4 linked regions of the Arabidopsis thaliana genome follow. The main gene of each other region encodes a partner of the protein of the gene in region 2 in a complex. Each region holds a gene or a part of one and is shown on either strand. Other genes may lie near its edges.

The links.
Region 1: TAF8 (region 2) and TAF13 share a complex: the UniProt entries of both Arabidopsis thaliana proteins name them as parts of the TFIID complex.
Region 3: TAF8 (region 2) and TAF15b share a complex: the UniProt entries of both Arabidopsis thaliana proteins name them as parts of the TFIID complex.
Region 4: TAF8 (region 2) and TAF5 share a complex: the UniProt entries of both Arabidopsis thaliana proteins name them as parts of the TFIID complex.

The regions. Positions count from the first base shown.
Region 1 is NC_003070.9:578,728-582,847, reverse strand, and holds TAF13 (TBP-associated factor 13), read right to left. Parts: upstream 2,224-4,120; 5' UTR 2,103-2,223; intron 1,779-2,102; 5' UTR 1,765-1,778; coding exon 1,662-1,764; intron 1,571-1,661; coding exon 1,533-1,570; intron 1,352-1,532; coding exon 1,292-1,351; intron 1,205-1,291; coding exon 1,130-1,204; intron 1,034-1,129; coding exon 929-1,033; 3' UTR 538-928; downstream 1-537. Other genes in the region: AT1G02670 (P-loop containing nucleoside triphosphate hydrolases superfamily protein), read right to left, coding at 2,549-2,621, 2,718-2,798, 2,881-2,969, 3,049-3,201, 3,323-3,427, 3,536-3,652, 3,831-3,953, 4,057-4,120. UniProt on the Arabidopsis thaliana protein: TAFs are components of the transcription factor IID (TFIID) complex that is essential for mediating regulation of RNA polymerase transcription. May be involved in polycomb repressive complex 2 (PRC2) mediated repression.
Region 2 is NC_003075.7:16,426,106-16,429,860, forward strand, and holds TAF8 (TBP-associated factor 8), read right to left. Parts: upstream 1,906-3,755; 5' UTR 1,728-1,905; coding exon 666-1,727; 3' UTR 534-665; downstream 1-533. Other genes in the region: HDR (4-hydroxy-3-methylbut-2-enyl diphosphate reductase), read right to left, coding at 2,576-2,641, 2,729-2,815, 2,889-3,074, 3,163-3,257, 3,352-3,457, 3,527-3,601, 3,688-3,755. UniProt on the Arabidopsis thaliana protein: TAFs are components of the transcription factor IID (TFIID) complex that is essential for mediating regulation of RNA polymerase transcription.
Region 3 is NC_003076.8:23,636,878-23,642,912, forward strand, and holds TAF15b (TBP-associated factor 15B), read right to left. Parts: upstream 4,097-6,035; 5' UTR 3,978-4,096; coding exon 3,791-3,977; intron 3,661-3,790; coding exon 3,567-3,660; intron 3,445-3,566; coding exon 2,811-3,444; intron 2,672-2,810; coding exon 2,521-2,671; intron 2,442-2,520; coding exon 2,363-2,441; intron 1,813-2,362; coding exon 1,689-1,812; 3' UTR 1,571-1,688; exon of another isoform or gene 1,419-1,570; 3' UTR 538-1,418; downstream 1-537. Other genes in the region: AT5G58480 (O-Glycosyl hydrolases family 17 protein), read right to left, coding at 4,350-5,436, 5,606-5,949. UniProt on the Arabidopsis thaliana protein: TAFs are components of the transcription factor IID (TFIID) complex that is essential for mediating regulation of RNA polymerase transcription.
Region 4 is NC_003076.8:8,675,081-8,682,844, reverse strand, and holds TAF5 (TBP-associated factor 5), read right to left. Parts: upstream 5,797-7,764; 5' UTR 5,729-5,796; coding exon 5,553-5,728; intron 5,240-5,552; coding exon 5,158-5,239; intron 5,073-5,157; coding exon 4,994-5,072; intron 4,878-4,993; coding exon 4,780-4,877; intron 4,682-4,779; coding exon 4,625-4,681; intron 4,509-4,624; coding exon 4,421-4,508; intron 4,328-4,420; coding exon 4,218-4,327; intron 4,091-4,217; coding exon 3,983-4,090; intron 3,905-3,982; coding exon 3,753-3,904; intron 3,571-3,752; coding exon 3,460-3,570; intron 3,386-3,459; coding exon 3,316-3,385; intron 3,227-3,315; coding exon 3,190-3,226; intron 3,042-3,189; coding exon 2,886-3,041; intron 2,797-2,885; coding exon 2,720-2,796; intron 2,624-2,719; coding exon 2,507-2,623; intron 2,090-2,506; coding exon 1,824-2,089; intron 1,360-1,823; coding exon 1,264-1,359; intron 1,176-1,263; coding exon 1,103-1,175; coding exon of another isoform or gene 1,058-1,102; exon of another isoform or gene 844-1,057; coding exon 787-843; and 2 more. UniProt on the Arabidopsis thaliana protein: TAFs are components of the transcription factor IID (TFIID) complex that is essential for mediating regulation of RNA polymerase transcription.

The sequences.
Region 1 (4,120 bases), on a different chromosome or scaffold from region 2:
TCATATCGTCTCCTCCTTCCACATCACTATAACATTCATCTTCTTCCTCATCAATATCATCATCATATAAGGACATGGCTGATCCATATCCCGAGATTCCTGATGATGATGAAGATGAAGCCGCCGTGAAAACCTCCATAGTCTCTGATAAACGACCCTCGGAATCATCATCATCTTCATTATCATTATCACCATCGTCTCCTCCCATTTCTGTCGCTGGCAGAGGAGGAGGAGCCGGAGGGAGAACAATTGTGTTAGTAAAAGTTGACGATGGCATTATCGTAATTTCGAAACGGAGTTTACGTACGGACTTAACGACTCGCCGCCAGAACCTGGTGTTGAAGGGTTTTCTCCCCGGCGGCGACGAAGCATGAACATGACGACGGAGAACATGTGCATCCCACGTGATGACTTTTTCTTCTTCATGCTCGTGTTGTTTATTTGCTCTATCTCTAATTGATCACAATGATTTTCTTTAGTTGGTAATTGATCACCATTCTTATTTATTGTTTCCATGGTAAAATAATGAATCAAAATATCAGAAAGATGACGAAAAATTTAGAGAAAAACAAAAGTCTTATAATGATGACTAATTTTATAATTATTGCGGTAATTAATTTAATGAAAGAAACAAAAATCGGGTGGTTATTCTAAATTTTTAGGGTTTCGAAATTCCTGACTCAAGAAAAATTAAAGGTCGTCCGTAGATATATACGGGATGCTAGATAATGGGCTTTCTTCTAATGGGCCTACATTTAATATGAGTCGGCCTTGTGCAAGATTTTTTTTCACCTTTTTTAAGTCAACACACTTTTTTTTTGCTACTGTGCTTCGAATTCTGATTACAACCTAAAACGCTGTCCCTAGTCCGGCATCCATGAGGTTCCTCTTACCTAGCATTTGTTCCTCCCGTTGAGGAAAAGCAAGATCAATCAACGAGTTCCTTTTCGTCGACATCAAAAGCTTTGCGTGCTTGTTTCAGCTCTTCCTGCATCGCCAACAGTTCTCTACAGCGGTTCAGTTTTGGCAAATCCTGCATAAATCAAAGACGCCAAAGTTTCGGATATAGAATACAAAACCATAAACCATCTCAATCATCGATTGTGTACTTTTTAAAAAGAATTTTTACCTTGCGGATAAGATACAAGAAATCATCAACTAGAAGTCTTCCTCGCTTTGAACCAATTTCTTGAGCTTTATGTGTCTGCCATTGAAACATCACTTGTTAGCTAATATCTCTCCGCTTGTAATGTAAAACATGAATCATTCACAAAAAGAAAAAGCTCACTACCAAATCTGTGACGTATTCCACAACAATGTCTTCTACAAGCGCCACAGACTCTGGAAGAGGCTAAATACAGAGGAGTTTTGGATCAGTTTCAGGTGGTAAAACACTAAAAGATGTTACACGACCAAGAACCCTTTAAAGCAAAGATTCTCTACCTAATTCGTTACTTGTATTGGAATGAAACTATATCTACAAATACGGTTCATATGGCAACAAAATAGTAATGAAGAGGATAGCGGCTTACGTTTTGCTCGTCGCCAAATCCATACATCATATGCTGCACTGAAAAATCAACAAAAGCACCAAAACCATTGTTACCAGAAGAATCACAAAATGAAGAATACAAAAATCTGGTTTTAACTAAAGACTTTACATTCTTTTTGAAAGAGAGTTTTGCGCTTTTCCTGTGGCTGAGAAGTTCCCGCAGCTTTCGATTTAGACGATGATGACGCCGCCGCTGCTGGTGTGTTACTCATCTCTTCTTCTTCTTCTGATAATCAAAATCCAGGAGAGCAAAATAATAGAAAAATAAGTGAAATTCCTCTACCGACAAAATCCAATTGAGTCAAATACTAACCCTAGGTGAAAATTTTCAAAAAAGAAAAAACAGTGTAATCTCAACTAGAAAATGAAATTCCGAGCCTATATTCTAGATTTCTACCGCAATCAAAACCAGAGAGCTACCGGAAAGTTGTATTCCGGTACAGTACAACAACCAACGGAGTTAAATCGAATAAGGTTCTTTATCCAAATATTTGTCGTCATGGAAAAGGAATGAAAATTGAAAAGGGAATAGTGAGAGCAGAGAGCTCACCGTAGATTGATCGACGGGAGTAGCAGAGGTGGTCGTTGCAAAATCGGCGATGAAGATGATGAGAACGAAGAAACGGGGACTTGTTCACTGATCTCTCTCTCTCTCGTAGAAGAAGCACATTGCATTACATACGAAGTAATTGGGCTTAATAAATAGGCCCATTTATATTAAACCAGCCCATAATCTAAACCAGAAACCCGTACACTAGTCGACCGACATTGTAACTAAGTTCTCACGGTATGGCTCAAACCGGCCATGGCCTCATGCTCAATATTCTTCGGGAGAAGGAAAAGTTTGTGATCCGATTCATATACAATCTATCCGGTGCTCATCATATTACACAAGTATGTATCAAATCTTTTAGCTTGAGCCTAATTTTGTCCTGTCAAGACTCTTTTTTCTATCTATACAAATTTTCTATCATGTTCTTCATCTACAAGATTTGGTTATGCGAACAGGGACTTGATATCGTCTTCTCCCAGCTTTTGTACAACGGCCTCTTCAGAGTCACCTAACGTACTGTAACAAAGCAAATATGTCTTCATATAGGCTTCATACAGTTGACAATAAGAAACCAGCAAAGTTGAGAGAAGCGTATCGTTTAAAATAAGAAACCTTTCAAACAAATCTTCCTTCTTCTTTTGAAGCGTTAGTATCTTTTCCTCTACTGTTTTCTCCATTATGAATCTTACAACCCTGTCACACAACCAAATGTTTCTTCTTTCTTCCCCCACCAAAACAACATACAGTATATTGAAGGACAACTCAAAAATATAACCTGACAGGCTTGCACTGTCCGATCCTATGTATTCTGTCCTGTGCTTGCCTCTCAACCGCTGGGTTCCACCACGGGTCCATCATGAACACCTATACAATCAAACACCCGAATGTCAGTGAATAAAACATGTTCTAGGAGCAACTGTTTTATAAGTTGTACACTTCTTACATGCGAAGCGGCTGTTAGATTTAGAGCAACCCCTCCAGCTTGCAAGCTCATTAATAAAACTCTGCAATCTGGCTCTTCTTTAAAATTTTTGAGTGCAGCATCTTTAGCTGCCTTGGACATGCTTCCCACCAGTTGAACACAGCTAACCCCAGACTGCGTTGTACAAAATGAGTCAATCATTTTTATTCAATGTCTCATTATGATTAAAGAGAATGTTAAAGGAGCACAGATATAGTAGTAGTAGCATTTTGTAGTTGGTTGCGCTTGAAATTACCTTCCCCAAGGCGTAACTTATCAGGTCCAAGAATGATGTGAACTGGCTGAATACTATTGCTTTGGCAGACCAATCTCTTTCAACCATGAACCTGATTTCTTCTCTCTGCATACAAATTTTTTTTATCACCAAATGGTTAGATAAAGCCTCCAATCTCCAAAGAAACTTTAAGCGTGGGAGAGACAGAAGCTGTAGATCTCAAAGGGCACATACCAAAGCCTCAATCTTTGTACTTGTTTTAAAATCATCGAGGTTTATCCGATTTAAAATGCTAGAGGCTCTAAATCCTTTAAGCTTTGTCTTGCTTGCCTGATGTTCACTAGAAGTCACCTTCAAAGTAAGAGAACCAAAGACATATTAACCGAACAAGTTAAGTCCAACATTAGTCATCCGATGATTCTTTAAGAAAGTGTAAAATGGTGGCAGCTATTTCCAGAAGATACAGTTACTGAGAAACAAGAGTCGAGATAGTATGAAATAGCAACAATATATCGACTGGAACACTTACAAAGTAGTCCTTGGAAGGGTCATGGCCGAAACCACATTCTTTCTCATTTTTGTTCGCATCAAGCAAGTTAGCGTTAGCGCCACTAGGACTAGAATAACTCACCAGGTATGGATGATCAACAGCCTGAAAAAATTGCAAGAAAATGCATCAGAAATCTATATACCTATATCATCCAAAACATGCACTGGCTTGTAAATAGAACAACAAAACTATCGATACCACTCACTTGTCTCAGTCGGATAAGAAGACCAAATATATGTGCATAGTTATTCATCAATGTCCCAGCCTGA
Region 2 (3,755 bases):
ACTATCAAAATGATGGTTCTGCCAGGAGTCTATATATACTGATATCAGAGTGGTGGGCTAATAGACGAAAAACTAAATCATAAGTATGGAATCTGAAAACTAGGGGTGTTAGTTAAAGGAACTGTGATAGGATTCAGTTCTCGTAAACTCTTAAGAGGCTTGATTAACGAGAGAAGTAAGTCTCTTATCTATCGCCCAGTGTCCAAAGCAAAATCCTACATTAATCCACAAGGCCCCAACTCAATAACCTAGCTTTCCTTTCTAACCTCGAGCTCTCAACTAATTGACATAACATAATCTTAATTCTGATACAGTGATATGTTTCACACCCCATAAACATCACGAAGCAAAACACATGTCGACCAAAGAAAATATACTTACCTCAGACCACTTGACTTGGTTTGGAAATATAGCAATGATACAAGACTAAACTCCTTCCACACTGGTCCCTGGCTCCCACTCATGAGACATGAAACTGAAACTAACATTAAGTTATGTAACAAGAATCTCATGAGAAAGACATCATATCAATTGCCTAAAAGATAGGTTAGAAATTCTCATTCTTTCAGTCACAAAATCATAATCATAACATAGGCCTGTATAAAGAAAGGTTACAAATCACAAGATTAATAGTACGCTACACAGACTGTAATGAATCACTTATTTTACAACTGATTGAGGTCTACTGGGTTCTCCATACACTGTCTCAAAATGAACTCCGCTCTTCTTCTTTTGTCATCTCTATCCTCCTCACGCACAAAGGATATGGGTCTATCTTCACCCTTCATCTGTAGACTTAGATCCAAAGGTTGTCCGAGAAATTTCTTCTCGGTTCTGAGCTTAGAAAGAGCAACAGGTTTATTCTTCTTCCATTCAGTGTGAGCTTCACTAGAAAACCCATCTCTTGCAGCCTCCATAGCAGGAGCAAATGCCTCTATCACTGATAAGCCATCTCTATTCAATGATTCGACTTTCTCCCCGGACGATACAGAACGCAGTTCACTCTCATCATCTCTCATTTCTTCTTTCACACCATCCATATCTCCCCACACAGGATTCCTTGAGGAGATTTTACAAACAAGTTTCCTCTGCAAACTCAACAAAGCTCTCTCAGCCTTTCGTCTCTGCCTCGCTTGTTCAATCTTATCTCCCCTTGGATCTGATACTCTTTCGATCCACATAGGGGTTTCCTTATAAGTATGAGGATCAGGAAAAGCTGGTAGCCACAAAGGAATATGTTTCCCAGGTGGAGTTTCACCAATTTCAACAAAGCTTGGGATCATCTTCCTACTCCTATCACTTATAGCTACAGGAAAACTTGGCAATGGCTGCGAGAAAGGGACTTCTTCACTCGAATTAACGAAATCGATAATCTCCCTAAGTTTAATCGAACGACCTAATGAACAACTCTCAGACGAAATTCCTTGTTCGCCATTGTTATCAGTCAAATCATCCAAAGCGAGAATGATATCGAACACGTTACACTGACTCCTACCAGTTAGATTAGCGAAGGAAGTAGCGGTTTTACCTAGCTGAAGAATGTACTGGAGTGCGAATCCAGATAGAGATTCGAGAGCTGGATCCTTGAAATTCTCGTACCCAACGCTCTCGCAGACCTGAGCTACTGCAGCTTTAGCGGCTGCGTGGCTAAACTCGTAGGACTCGGAGCAGCCAGAGGAAGATGCGGCATCGTTCCTATCACCTTCTTGAGCTCTCTCTGTGTTCATTGCTCTAATTTGTTTCAAAAAGCTATCTAATCCCTGAAATTAGGGTTTTCTCGTCGGTAAGACCACATGGACCGCCGGTTTAAAGAGAATCGAAGAAATTTGCCTCCGTCAACGGAAAAGACCTAACGTCGACGAAGCACCGGGAAATATGAAGAGAGAAAGAGAGACAGAGAGAAATGCGTCTTGAGAATCCTGCCATCTCTCGCTTATATAGAGCTCCAACCCCAAAATTAACTACCAACTTTTTTTTTTTTTTTTAGACCAAAATTTTGGTTTAAAATTAAACAAATGTAAATTGTAGTAATCATAACCCAAAAAATTATTGGAAAATTTTATAAGAAATTGGCGTGGCTGATTTTGTTGAAAATAAGTTTTTCTGCGGTATTTCGTAAAAATTTATGAAGCTATTTTAGAAATTCGGATGAGTGATTCTGTTGAAAATGAGTTCTCCGCGATATTTCATTACATTGTTTTGAAAATTTTCCAAACATAACGAAATATCGCGGGAGAACTCTTGACAACTTCCCGAGTTTCGTTACATTAAACTATTTTAGAAACTCTTGTGGCTCGATTTGTTGAAAATGAGTTCTTTCCCGATACCGCGGAGATTCATAACCTAGTTGTTTTAGTGACAACTTCTCGATAATGACAGCCTTACACAGTCTCAAGTTCTATATCAGTCTAATTGCGATTATGGTAAGAACATTAAGTGGAGTAAGATAACGAGGATGTTGACTTTGAATTACAAAACCTCTTACAAAAGTTATAAAGACAAATCATACAACTACATATATTTTAGTACACTCTTGACATGACAAATAGTATTTGAATACGATCACAATGCCGAATCAAGCCAGCTGCAATAACTCTTCACGTTTAATGTCGAACACCTTCACCAAAGCATCTTCCACGACCTGTAATTTTTTCACAAATATTTTCACTCATGTTCGTGTGGGAAACAAGAGAACCAAACAAAAATATAGCTGCAAATATATATATACCTTATCCGGGGTTGATGCACCTGATGTCACACCGATTGTTATTGGTCCCTTTGGGAGAAAGTTTTCCTTCTCGACCAGTTCTCCATACTATCAATGTAAAATAGAAAAAATCAGTGAATGCAGTTTGGTAAGGAGTAAGTTAGTTTTGAAATGCGCTTACGTGGAGCTTATAGGCTATTTTATTCCCAGGTCCTATCCGTTTCTCACTATCGATCCAGTAAGATGGGATTCCCCGTGCCTCTGAGATTTCCTGAAGGTGAGAGGTGTTACTTGAATTCCATCCGCCAACCACTAGCATGAGGTCAATCTTCTCTTCCACTAGCTCATAGATTGCGTCTTGTCGCTCCTGAAGAGATTATAGTATTGATGAATAAACACTTCCTCAAGTGTAAAACTTGTCTAGATGCATGGTTTTTGAGGTATGGGAATTTTACTTGAGTAGCGTCGCATATTGTGTTGAAGCTGATGAAATGTCCGCTTACATTTTCCACTCCATACTTGCGCATCATTGTTGTCTCGAGTAATCTTCCTGTGGGGTTTTTGGCATGAGACTCAAACTAAGGTGTTTTTGTTTCCAAGGATAAAAGACGATTGTCATGTAAAAAAACGGTAGAGTAACTAACCTATCTCCTCTGTTTCTCCCTTTAGCATCGTTGTTTGGTTTGCAATACCAACTTTGACAAGGTCATTGTCGGGATCGAAACCCTTCGAAATTGCGTATTTGAATTTCTACAACGCCAACATAGAGATTAGAAAAACCAGAATGATACAAAGAATTAGCAAAATAAGCTTACATACCTCCATGAACTCCTCTTTTGTGGAGCTAGATCCATCGTATTGGCCACCGAGAATGTAATCACAAACGTAATTTGCCTGTGCTCAGTAATAAGGTACCCCATCAGTAACACATCTTGCAAAATTCTATGGATATCCAAAGTTTGACAATATAAAAGTCACACCTCTTTCATGTTCTTTACAATGATGTACTTTCCTGCAAAAGACGCAGTTGCAATCGTCTCTTCATGAT
Region 3 (6,035 bases), on a different chromosome or scaffold from region 2:
ATGATACATTATAACACATATGTAAAGGAAGATGCATACCTATGGATGTAAATTTCAGATTGAGTAGTAGAGAAATAGCTATAAAGCTCAGGAGGGATAGCGCCATGGCTCACCAGTGCTGTATGTTTTGTATATGCGTACATGTATATCTGTTGGCGCTATCCATCCTGAGTTCCATAGCTTCTTCTTGCTTATATGTGATTCCTACTTCATTCCCTCCTTCGTTTAGCTTCTTGTATACAAGATATGGTAATGGGTAAGTTTATTATTTGCATGTAAATATTTTACCTTTTTTTATATAGAATTGTTGAAGTTCAAATCATATAGAAAATTGTGTCGAAAGTGAGAAAAATCGCAGGTATTGTCAATTTGAGGTTAAGAACACATTAAGTATTAAATAGTGTGGTCTTACAAGTTACAACTTACAAATATCTGGATTTCACACATCTAAGCAGTTTGTTAGAATTACATTGTTACTGCCTTACTTTTTTTTTTTTTTTTTTTTTTTGTAAATTTATGCTTAAGACTACTGGTGGACTTTTATTAAGAATATGTATATTATCCAATATGTGTGTGAAAGGGATGGTAAATAAGTAATATCGCCGTGTGCTAGAGCCAGCCAGCGATTGAGCTGTGAATATGCAATGTTAGAAGATGGATTCTCTTTGTCGAATTGAGAATGGGAATCTTGAAACTAATGTTACAGGATTCCAAATTTCCTGGATTCTTTCTCTCGTCCATATTTTCTACACAACAAGTCATTAATAAACTTTCTCTTGGGATTTTCGGCATTAGTCTTTTTTGTTCCTATAATTTCAACATAAACTTTCGTTACATGTAACACATTAAAGAGTTGGCCAATCCGGCACTTGACCAAAAGGTCATGACATATACACATAGAGAACTTTACGAGACACCCTTCTCTTTAGTCCTTGGGATCCAGATTGAACGATTAACTATTTATTAACAACGTCTTTTATCCAAAAAAAGGCCACTCATTTGTAAAACCCTAATCCTAATCATAGCCCCAGTGAGTGAAGTTGGCAATAAAATCATCAAGTTGATCTTTGAAAGGTCACTGCATACTTCAGATCAACTGATCAGACACAAGTGCCTAGCCATCCCCCACTCCTGCCAATTCTCGAGGAACACATGTTGCTATAAAAGAAGTTTGCGAGAAAAAACGATAACAACTCCGAAAATTGTAAAGAGAAGTGTGGTTGCCTAAATGAATGCATTACACAATACAACATGAAAACATACGACTGTTTTGTTTGTGTTGAACAGAGTCAAAAAAAGAAGGAAGAGAAGCAAAAAAGGGACTTCTGGTGTTGAAAGAAGTAATCAAGATGAATGCACTCACCTGAAATCATCATAGCACCAATTTGCAATGCATTTTGCAGTTAAATATCAGCTTCCTTCAATAAAACAAAAAACAAACATTTCACATCGTGAAAAACAAACTAAAAATAAACCGGAGATGCATGAATAATAGATCCCCAAAGAAACAGAACAAGTAGGGAGAAAAAAGGGGTAATTTTGCTCAAGGTCAAAGTGAACAAAAACCTACCTCTTTTTTTGTATCTCCAATATGAGGATTCATAGAACATTTTACTAAAATTCCCTCCTTAACACACACAAAACTCTTAGAACACATAACAGCTGATTCATTCATTCCTCTCTTTCTCTCAATATGGACGAGACCGGTTTCCCCCATGGTGGTTTCTGTCTGGCCCTGAACTGTAGTTGTCTCTTCTTCTGTCTCCCCCACCACCACCATAGCCACCACCTCCTCCTCCTCTACCCCCACCTCTGCGACATTCACAAGTTTGCAAGGACAACATTATTAGATCAGACACAGACATCTCTAATTAAAACCAGCTTACTACGTAAGATGAAGTGACTCAACACACAACAAAGACGAGTCTTATAGAGCATGGAAAACCAGATAAAGATACAACTTATATGGGGAATTACTAGGAGCTTATAAGAAGCATGAACAAACAACAGATCTCTTCACAACCAAGAGCAGCCACAGCTATAGGTTACAAGATAACTACATAGATTTATTTCCTATGGCATGAACATAGACCTAAGGCATAATTTGATGACATACGAACTCCCAACCCTTTCTGTCATACCCAGATGAGTGTACAAAGCAAATCCCCAGTAGGATACAAGATCCAAACAGTCTTCAGAGACAAGGAACATAAACTTAGCATTGCAAAAACTCATATTCCCTACTAAAATTATAAAGCTAAAAGCCTAAAACAACTAGAGTACAAACACCTATAAGATGGAGCAGGTGGTAACAGCTAAATGGTAACAAAAAAGAATGCTGATAAATGATCAGGACAGCTACCTCTGGTCAAAGGTAGGAGCACGGGGCGCAGACTTTTCTGCCATCGTTACACTAATCTTGTTCCCCCTCATTTCGTAATCTACAAAACAATCCACCACCATTCACGAAACAGAACTTTTAAACAATTTTAAGCTAGACAGCAATTCCATAGTACATACTGTTGAAAAAGCCGCCTGCAGAGTGTGCAGCGCTGGGATCTTCATAAGCCAGACAGGCGTCACCTTTATAGTTACCCTTCTCATCAGTGTAAATCTTAATATTATAGGGCCACTGATCTTTGTAACCACGCTTCTGCTTAATTCTTCCAACCTAAAATAGATCCAACCAGACACACTTTATCAGCACACCAATAAACATGTACACAAACAAGAACTTAATAACTTATAGCAAGGGAAAGGCTTATTCCAAGATATAAAACACAACAGAAGTAAAAGACCAGTGTTATTACTTGGCCAATGCCACCAAAGAGATCCTTGAGTTCATCAGTTGTCACATCCGGAGGTAAATTAGAGATGTATATTCTAGCATTATCACAATTATCATCACAATCAGCATCGCACTGCTTGACTTTTTCAGTAGCTGCATCTTCATAACTAGCTTCCTGCCGTCGAGGAGCACTACCACCATCATAGCCGCCACTCCTACCACCACGACCACCAGTGCTCGGTGCATCACTGCCATAACCCCCTCGTGGACCACCATATGACGGCGGGCCACCAGAATAGCTTGTAGGCGGGGGAACAGCTTCCATTCCATAACCCGTGGGTGGAGGATAACTTCCAGAACCATCGTAGGATGGAATAGCTGCAGCAGGAGGAGGAGCCTGACCATACGAACCATTTTCCCTCTGACTACCACTACCATAGCTACCACCACTCCTACTTCCACCATCATATCTACTACTCTCATAGCTCCTACCACTATCGTTTCTACCACCACGACCACCCCCACGATCACTGTCACCTCCACCTCGGCTATATCCACCACCTCCACGATCATTAGCACCAGAACTAGTACCAGAAGGAGCAAGTGCACCACACTTGTTACATTCAACTCTCCTTGCAAAGTTCACGTTCCCACAACTATACAAACAGTTTCGAGGGTAAACAATTTCAAAACATGCTCCCACAAAGGAATTCAACAGCTAATTCAATTCATTACATATGCAGAAAGAATGGAATCCCAAATAATTTGCAATCATTACCTGGGGTTGGGACAACGCCAATCTCCATCTCTGCCTCCGCCGCCACTTCCTCTTCCACCGCGATCACCTCCTTGATATCCACCACCTCCACCGCCTAAATCAAAACGAATCATCGAAATAGTGAGAAACTAAAGATTTAACAAAAGTAGCTCAGCAAGGAATGGAGAAATCTAAAGAATCATAAGGTTATATCAATCAGATCTGCAACAATCTAAATCACAAACCTCGATTTCCTCTACCACCGCCTCCACCGTAACCACCGCGTCCGCCGTAACTACCTCCGCCAGAGGCACCGCGTCCACCATATCCAGCATCACCACCTCCATAACCTCCCCCTCCGCCGTATCCATCACCACCGTACGACGGAATAGGCGCACCTCCGCCGCCGTCTTGATTGTACATCCCAGCCATGACCTAGGGTTTGCGATAAACAACAGACCAAAACTCTTAACGAATCGTGTGAGAGCCTTTTTAGACGTAGAATAAAAAATCTCGCGTTTTATTTATATTTCTCTCAAAAATAGTGGAACTTTATTATTGCATTTATCTTAAATCTTAAATTCTTTTACATCTTATCTTTTACCGACCGGTTTCCCAAAATAACTGGACTTGCTTTTTTTATCAAATAAGACAACATGGTTCTAAGGCCCATAATCATCTAACCTTTACGAAGGCCCAGCCCAATAACAGTTATTTTTTACGTAGCCCAATACAGTTTTGAAATGTGGCTATTAGAGAGAAATTAGAGGCAAAATCCACCAAAATTTTGCTATAACTACAACTTTAAAAGAGTCCGGACAGTAGGAACAATAAGAGGAGAGGCCAGCTCTGAAAGAAATTTGGAGTTTGCGAAGATGAATGAGAAGTGTCAAGTTGAATCGAGAACCGGCAATTATCCTCAGAAGGATCAACAGTAGTGATCAAACCAAGTCCACCAAAGTTGCAGCTTTCTGCACTGTGATCATTTTGCTGGTACAAGCTATTGAACGCGTATGAAACGTTGCCTGGCCATCTGATGCCTGAACACGACCCGCCAGGAAGTATCGATGTACAGTCCGCAACAGCACACGCTTCTAATGCTCTTGCTGACGCGTTTGACAAGTCCTTGTTATTGTTCACCACACACCACTTAGGAGGAAGGTACTGAACATTCTGCGCGTTTACCTGATTCTTATGGTTGAAACTGAAATTGTATTTGGCTTGACCGTCGAAAGTGAACACTCCCCAGTGCCTCTCAAAGTTCCCAGCAGATAAGTTTCTCTGATCTTCGTCCAAGAGACTTTCAATGTAGGTTTCAACAGGAGGACGCGGGAGAGAGGCCGTCTTTTTCTCCAAGTGAACTATCAGTCCTTTAAAGAACGCCTCAGCAGTCAGTGATGTTGCATTTTCTGCTCCATCTGTAGGCCAACCGATCTTTGACACAACGATATCCACCTCCGAAAACCCAATTGTGAACAATGCAGAGACAAGTGTGTCATAGCTTAGATCAAAGCTGTTTCTGTAGGTTTTACGTCCGTCTTTGTGAGCCTTTGCTGTTTCTTTAAAGAGGCTAAAGTCAAGGGAGATGTTCTTGTTCTGGTGAAAGCTTAGGAAAGGAGAGATTGTCACAAAAAAAGGAGAGTGGTGCTTTGTGAGAAAGGAGAGGAGTTCAATCATCGTCTTGTTGAGGTCAGCCCTAAAGTGTCCTGAAGAAGGTCGACCAGATTCAGAAAGAAAGGAATCAAAGCTTGAGGGGACTACAACCTTCACTTCATTTGCCAAGTTCGCCTTAACTAAAGCATTTTGGATATTCATAGCTGCCCCAATCACAAAAGGCTTATACTGATTGCCATAGCTCTGGAGAAATGGCTCTTCTCCAACTGCTACATACCTGAAAATCAATTCTTTTCTTTAATGATAATTTCACAATAAGAAGATTGGCAATTTGGCATTGAAACAAATCCGACTCATTCACATTCCATAAGTTAAATTCCAGCTTAAAAATCTTAAATCTATATATATATAACTGGATAAGCAGAAGAGAAGGAGAAAGAAGATACTCGATTCGAACTCTGTTTCCACCGTTGAAGTAACGAGTGACATTGTCATGTACCCAGCTCTCTGCTACCTTTACGGATGCATTCAAGCTCTTGAGCATCGAATTTTGGATTCCGATAGTGACACCAATATTAGAACCAGAGAGAGCTCGGAGAACTTTTGGGTCGGCATCGAAGAGCTTCACTTTGACAATGCCGTTTGATTTCAGAAGCTCTACAACCTTTGAAGGCGGAAGAGGGTGCGACGCTTCTGTCCCCCAATTTATGCCAACTGCTCTGACGGTTGTTCCCGTCAAGCTCAACCCTGCCGTGACGGCGAGGAGGAGGAGAAACAGCCGACGAGCCATCAAATCCAGTGAATCTCGTACTTCCACGATAATGTCGGGCCGAGAAATTCAATGTTTAAAAAAACAAAACACTGCGTGCCGTTTCA
Region 4 (7,764 bases), on a different chromosome or scaffold from region 2:
TCATATAAGAAGATAACGAGTACCACATTCCCACATATAATTCCAAATGTAGACAATTGTCTAGTCACACAACCAAATCTACTTTTGGTAGATTTTATGTCTCATCCAAAATTTTGATGCAAATGTCTTTCAAAACATGTTTTTTTCTTTCTTTTCTTCTTCAGCTCTCAATTTTATTTTATTTTTGTCGTCAGCTCTCTATTTATTTAAGTACCGTCTCTAGAAATTAGGAGAATTAAATGTTTTCACAAAATAAAAAATATGTTAGTATCTGAAAAGTTTCTAAAAAATATGTTCTCTAAGAAAAAACATAATTCACAACATACCACATAACCACCCACCCTGTCTTAAGAAAGATTTCTCTCGACACACGATGTCTTTTTGGGGAGATTCATTACATGTTTCTATTTTATTAACGTTATAAATTTTGAGAATATTTGGTTGTTGTTCTTTGCCTTATTCATTTCGAGTAGGTTTTGATTCATGATAGAGGTGACATGCTTAAACTAGGGTGTTTATTAGAAGGAAGAATGTGGCTTTGACATGCTTAAAGTAAATCTGCTCCAAGTCGAAGATAAGTGATTCCTGGATTGGGACACATGGCATACATAAGCAGGAGTAGTTGTTCATTAAAAGAATCTTCAACATTTTTGGGATTTAGAAATGAGAAACAAAAGCCACAAGCAAATAATCTTTGGAGATAACTATTCTACACCTGATTTCTTCTGAGATCTACAACAGCTTGTAAGAATGTTAAAGCATCAATATCTGATACCATTGTTTTGATCAGTTTGCGGGTTTAGAGATCGCTCCTGCAGCAAACAACAAATTTCTCCGAGAAAACTGCATCAATGTAAAACATGAGTTTTAGTGTATGCCTCGATCAACGAATCCTAGGTGTTAGAGGAAAGGTTCTATATGATACTGATGGATAAAATCTGTTTGGCACACACCCTGAAACTTTGGTTCTAATCAAGTGTTTGGTCACTCATTATCGGGATGTGTTGATCACAAGCACAACATGATAAACTTAGGGATGAGAGAAATACCACGGTGTTTAGAGAATGGTGGAATTAATTCTAGTAAAGAAAGCATAACTTACCCGGAGAGCGTGAACTGGTGTGGACTTGGTGGGGAAAGTCCTGAGTGAGCGCAATCTGTTCGAGTTTCCATTCCTGATCAATCACAAATGATAAATCGTTTTTAACAAAACAATCTACCATTCAAAGGGAACAACAATACAACTTGAAAGAGCAAACTCACTTTTCCTCGGCCTTTGTCAATTTGGTACTTGAAGTGACGTCCCACAGTTTCACTGTGCAGTCTGCGGATCCAGAAGCCAGAAGAGAGCCCTCCCCGCTGAAACAGGAAAACAGGTTAGTCATAAATTGTAGTAGTTCTATGATTTATCAAAGTGGAGTTTACGGTTCCAATATTCCAAGCAAGTGGATTTTACCAACCAAAACCAGTCATTCCATTAACGACCCAACACATTAGGCCTATACAACATTCCACAACCCATGACAAGAACCCTATGTTAGAGCTAACACAAGAGTGCGTGGATATAGAAAAATCTACCAGTTCAGTAGTAAGTCACTGTAGAATTAATAGAAATAGCCACACCATACCACTCTATATCATAACCCTGAACTACCCTTTAAAAAATGTTGTCCTAGAAGAAATTCCAGAGATGATAAAGCATATCAACCAAAACCAATAGTTGGCTGAAAAAAGGATCATATTACGTTTTCATTGTGTATTACTAACTCAATAAAAGTTGAATGATCAAATAAAGCTATTTTCTTCTTCTCTTGACACCTCACCTGTATGAGAGACTCCAGACACATGAATTATGGCCCATGAGAGGAGTGATGCAGCGAGCAGTTGAGAGGTCCCACATCATTATAGTGCCATCTTCATCACCGGAAGCCATATATCTCCCATCTGGAGACATCGCCAATGATAAAACCATACTCCTGTGCCCAATGAATATCCGGACACATTCTCCAGTTTGCACATCCCAGAGTCTAACCGTCTTATCACTACTACCGGTAGCAATGTAGTTACAATTGGGATGCCACTGTACACACTGAAATCAAATGCATTTGACAAGTACAACGAAAGTCGCATCAATAGGTATCCAAAGAAAAATTGAAGTTACTGATCTGACTTAATGTCAATCCAAATAGTTAAGTAATCCATCGTAACCTTATGACTTTAAGCGTATTGGCTAACAATCTTTGGATCAACTATAAACTGGACGATTCTTAAATTATGAATGTCAGGGTCACGTTAAAATAACAAGTGGGTACTAATCTAAGTCAATAAACAATGTAAAATGTTAGATAAACCATTGTAAACATTGATACGGTGAATTAATGACTTCAATTGCATAATAAAACGTTTTAAGAAATTTATCCATGCATTTAATTAACAACTCAATTGGTCCCTTCGATTTAACCTTTGCAAATTAAACCCAAACAATGAAGATGAGGGAGACACTCACATCAACATCAGATAGATGCCCTGCCATTATCCGAAGAGGTTGTATTCGGTCCATTGACCAAATCCGTGCAGTACGATCATGAGAACAGCTTGCAAAGTAATGACCGAAAGGGCTAAACTGCACCATAAAATGAGTATATAATATATATACATGTCCAGCCACCATAAATTGCAGGTTATGTAAGAAACATGGGTTAAATTGAATTAACTATACCTGGGCATCCCATACAGGGTAATTATGACCCTTGTAGCACACGAGATTAGCATTTAGTTTTGTGCTCCACAGTCGTACTGCACTTATGAATACAGGGTTGGTAACTAAAAAAGTCTGAACTAATGAGCCAGTGTATGGATTTGTAAAGTGATGGACAGATACATACTTGTTGTATCTGCTGAAGAAGATAGAACAAAATCTCCAGGGGGACTGAAAGTGGCTGAGTAAACTGGCCCTGAATGACCCAGTAATAATGTATAACTTCTTCTGCCATTTGGTCCTATGCTTTGATCACTTGAATCATTTTCAGCCTGCAAAGCACCTGGAACCAGACAGCTTAGTGTCTATAACTCTCATGGAAACAAAAACAATCATTATGAGAAATCAACAAAAATGACAAGCGAAACGTATGAGATAAATATCATTCTTAAACGTGGATGTCAATACAATTTTTCAGAGAATTAACATACCACTGCCAGCTTGTCCTATCTTAGCCATGTCCCAGACCTGAACACCATAATTGTCACTTGGCATCATTTAAGAGAGGAAGAAAACAAAAAAAGGGAAATGTATCCAACCATCCGAGAATAACATACCTTTATTGAAGAATCTGAGAACCCACCAGCAACCAGAGATCCATCATGAGATATAGATGAACAGTTTAACCTGGGGGAGAATAAAAGAGTGAGTAACAAGGTTGCAAATAAGTAGTTAAAATTAGGAGGAGAGGTGGACATTACCCGTTATGAGTATTCACAAATGTATAAAAGCTGACTGATGGCATTGCAACACTACTCAACTGCACACGGTTTCTAAGGTCTTCAAGGATGGATTGCTCTACATCTGTGGACCTGACAGAGAAAACAAGGAGATGGAGCAAAATTGATTTATGTTAAAGGAGGTTGAGTCTTTGACAAATACAAAGACTATGTTCATTTCTCCTAAACAATCATGCATCACCCATAGATATCACATGTTCATTCCTTTTTAATCAAATCCCAACACAAAAAATGGGTAAGGGATTCGAAAGTACATTACTGGCAAGGCAAGTTCTGGTTTTACACGCGGCGCCGGTGACACCGTAATGGTCTCCAGACGTGCAACTTTTGCTGTTGCATTACCCGCTTTGTCCTTCTTCAACTTTTTTAAGGAAGAGCCTTGCTTTCCAATTTCAGTGGATCTTTTCTGTACACAGAATCAATTGACGAGTAAAAACGGGATTTCAGTTCAGAAATTATTGACTAAGTTGAAGCTATGTATCACCTTACTATCATCTGCATCCCCGTCTTTACTTTCTCCTTGTCCCTTCTCAGAATCAGACAGCAGACCTCCTGTCTTCTCAAGGCGATCTTCTAGTGAATCTTCAAGCAACTGTAAAAGAAAAATGCATATGTAGCTATTAACTACGCAAATATGTTATCATCCCTGGGATGAGGCATCAACATGTTATAACTCTGGAAAAATAGAAGAGAAAAGAAACTTTAGGGGAAATACGTACTCCCCACTGTATTTCTTTTTGATTAATGTGATTAGCAGTGTCCTGAAAACTCCCGACAATGGTGACAGCTTCTATGTCATCGGATGAGGAAGTAGGCTGTCCCGAGTAGACTGCAACAAATTATCCATGACCAATTGATTCAATTTTCTACTCAAAAAACTGCTACAAGCTATCGCATATATAAGAGAAAGAAACACATTTACCTTGGAAATTGATGTGCTCGTTAATAATACCAAGCATTAAAGTCGATACTGTACTATGTAGATACTGAAGTAACAGCTCATATGAATACTGCAACATTCAGTAAGCATATTAGAGGTCTGCAGTCACGGAATTCAGTTAATCAGACCAGAAACCTCGAAGCAGTTGCCTATTACAGCTACTAGTCAATTTTCACTCAAGTCTACCTGACAAAACTTGATGTTAACCTTGCTTTTTCTAAGAGAACGAGCAAACTCCATCTCCTGATAAGAACCAAGATCATAAGAAAGATAATAACCAAAAAAAAAAAAAAAAAAATCCATTATCAATATTATATGACCATATAAGGTTTATCATAAACCTCTAGATGAGATGGAGAAAGCACGCCTTCAAGCTTCTGAAGATCCCGTAAGTGTACCATCTCATGATCTTTGCGGAAGCTGTTAAAGAAGGCTCTAGCTGGAATACAAGAGACGTATTATTTCCCACAGTAGCATAAGTCACTGTTTCCAAAAATCTTATACCGAAGGTAAAAAAAATACTCAGTACATCTAATTTGCTATATTGACAAGTACCTTCTTGAGTGTGCCCTTTCCCCACCAGATCCATGTAACAATGAATAAACACAGGATACATCACTCGAAGCAATTCATGCTACAAAATTAGAATCATCTCGTCAGTTCAATTAAGCCTGTCTCTACCCAAAACAGCCAAGGGATACACAAAAAAAAATCCCCACCTTATATAAATCCAGAGAATTATACGCCCATGACCTTAGTTTGCTGTAACCTTCACGGTACCGAGTTGGATCATCTTCTTGTCTGCAAACAAAAGAACAGACATTTCATTACCATTAGCTCTCTCTACATAAGCCATACAAAAAAACCTAATTTCTTGCCACTGAGATGTCATCAAAATCTTAAATTTGACAGATAAACTGATAGAAATATTCACATAAACTTCACCCAGAAAGTGAATTATATTCATTTTTAGATTCTCAAAAACGTTGGAGCTTACATAATTTTTCCTTACGGTTTTCAAAATTCACAAAAGACACTAAAACTTTCCCAAAAATTCAAAACACAATTCGCATTAAGAATTGAAACGAGAGAGAGAGATAGGGAGAGAGATTACTGAGAAAAGGAGCGAATGAGCTTCGTGAGCTCAGGATCGTTATGATAATCGACAGAAGTGAAGGAGCTACCATTATTGTTCTGGTGATGATAAGATTCAAGGTCTTTAGCAGCGCTACTGAATCCTTTCTTCTTCAAGTAGCCCACGACGAACTCGTTGATTTGCTCTGGATCCATTGTTGTCTCTCTCTCTCTCTCTCGATTCAATTTCCTCTCCTAGAAACTTGTATCTCGTCGCTGAAACATCTTCAGTTTTTTAGATTCCGTGTCTCTACAAAACTGGGCCTGTTTCAATGGCCTAATTGTGGCCCAAATATAATAATTTCAAAGTTATGATTAAAACCAGGCCCGTCTATGGGGGTGGCAGGTTGGGCAAATGCCCAGATTCAAAATTTACTAAGAGTTTTTGAATTATAAGCCCATGACCTTACTTTGATGTAAAATCTCATAACCATTTTCTTTTTAAATTACTTGCTTTGGATTCTCTATTTCAACTTAAAGATTGGGACAAGATACCAATATTTATTGTTTGAGTAATTAATTCTTACAGAATTATTGAAAATTATCCAAAAAAATGTTATCTTCTCAAAATTTCTAACTTTTATTTAAAAAAAAAAATAACTTTCCAAAACACCCAGTTTAAAAATATTTAAACAATAATTCTTAAATCAAATGTTACAATGGTTAAACTAAACACTTGCAACAATTTATTGTATATAAGACAAGGTCAGTTATTTCCTCCCACAATGGTTAACTCGTTTTCTAAAAATATATTATAAAATTTTGGATATCAAATAATCAAGAAAAATTCTTTCAAATGCCCTTTTCATGATGCCCCTTTTCAACTCTACCCTTTTGTTTTATCCATTTTTATTTATATTCTCTTTAAATTTTTAATTACCATTTTACCCTTATTTGGAAATTGTTTTAGGTTAACAAAATGAAATATTAATATTTTTTCGCCTAAAATATTCTAAAATAAATTTCCCGCCAAAATTTTCCCGCCAAACCTTTTCGAAAAAAATTCCCACCAAAAATTTTTGAAAAACATTTCCCGCCAAATTTTGTTTTCAAAAATATTTTTCCCGTCAATTTTTTTTTTTGGCGGGAAATAGATTTACAAGGAATTTTAAAAGAGTTTTAAAAGATTTACAAGGCAATTTAAAGGGGTTTTATAAGATTTACAAGGGATTTTAAAAGGGTAATTTACAAGGGATTTTAAAAGGTTTTTAAAAGATTTACAAGGGATTTTTAAAAGGGTTTTAAAAGATTTACAAGAGATTTTAAAGGGATTTAAAAGATTTACAAAGGTCTTTTAAAGATTTTTAAAGGGTTTAAAATTGTTTTAAAAGGATTTTAAAATATTTACAAGGGATTTTAAAAGGGTTTTACAATATTTACAAGGGATTTTAAAGGGTTTTAAAATATTTACATAGGATTTGTAAAGATTTTTAAAGGGTTTAAAAGTGTTTTGAAAGATTTACAAGGGATTTTAAAACCTTTTAAAATTACTTGTAAATCTTTTAAAACTCTTTTAAAATCTCTTGTAAATCTTTTAAAACTCTTTTAAAATCTCTTGTAAATTTTTTAAAACTTTTTAAAAATCTCTTGTAAATCTTTTAAAATCCTTTTAAAATCCCTTGTAAATCTATTTGGCGCTAAAAAATATTTACAAGGATTTTTAAAATATTTTTTTTGGCTGAGGAAAAATTTTTTACGAAAAAAAAATTTGGCGGGAAATTTTTTTGTTGGCGGGAATTTTTTTTTTTGGTTGGAAAAAAGTTTGGCGGAAACTTTTTTTTGGCGGGAAAAAAAATATTTTGGCGCCAAAAAATTGGCGGGAAAATTTCAGTTTCCAATTACATGTTTTTATTAGATGAGGGTAATTTGGTCATTTTGTTCAAGGGGAGAGATATTTTTAAAAATGGACAACATGAAAGGGTATTGTTGCAAAAGGGTAGTAAAAAAAGGCTAGTTTTGCAAATCTCCCAATAATCAATACATATAATTTTCAAGAACCAATCAAGTCCTTATATAGTGAAAAACTAGTATTTATTGTTGTTCTATAAAATAGTTTTCTATGTATGGTTTTTAAAATCAGTTGTTGTTTTTTACAGGGGAGTCAAATTCAATCAATCACAAAATTTTATTAATAAGATGTTTTATATCTTATCTCACTGTTACTATTTCAAGGATGTGTTTTGCACGGAACA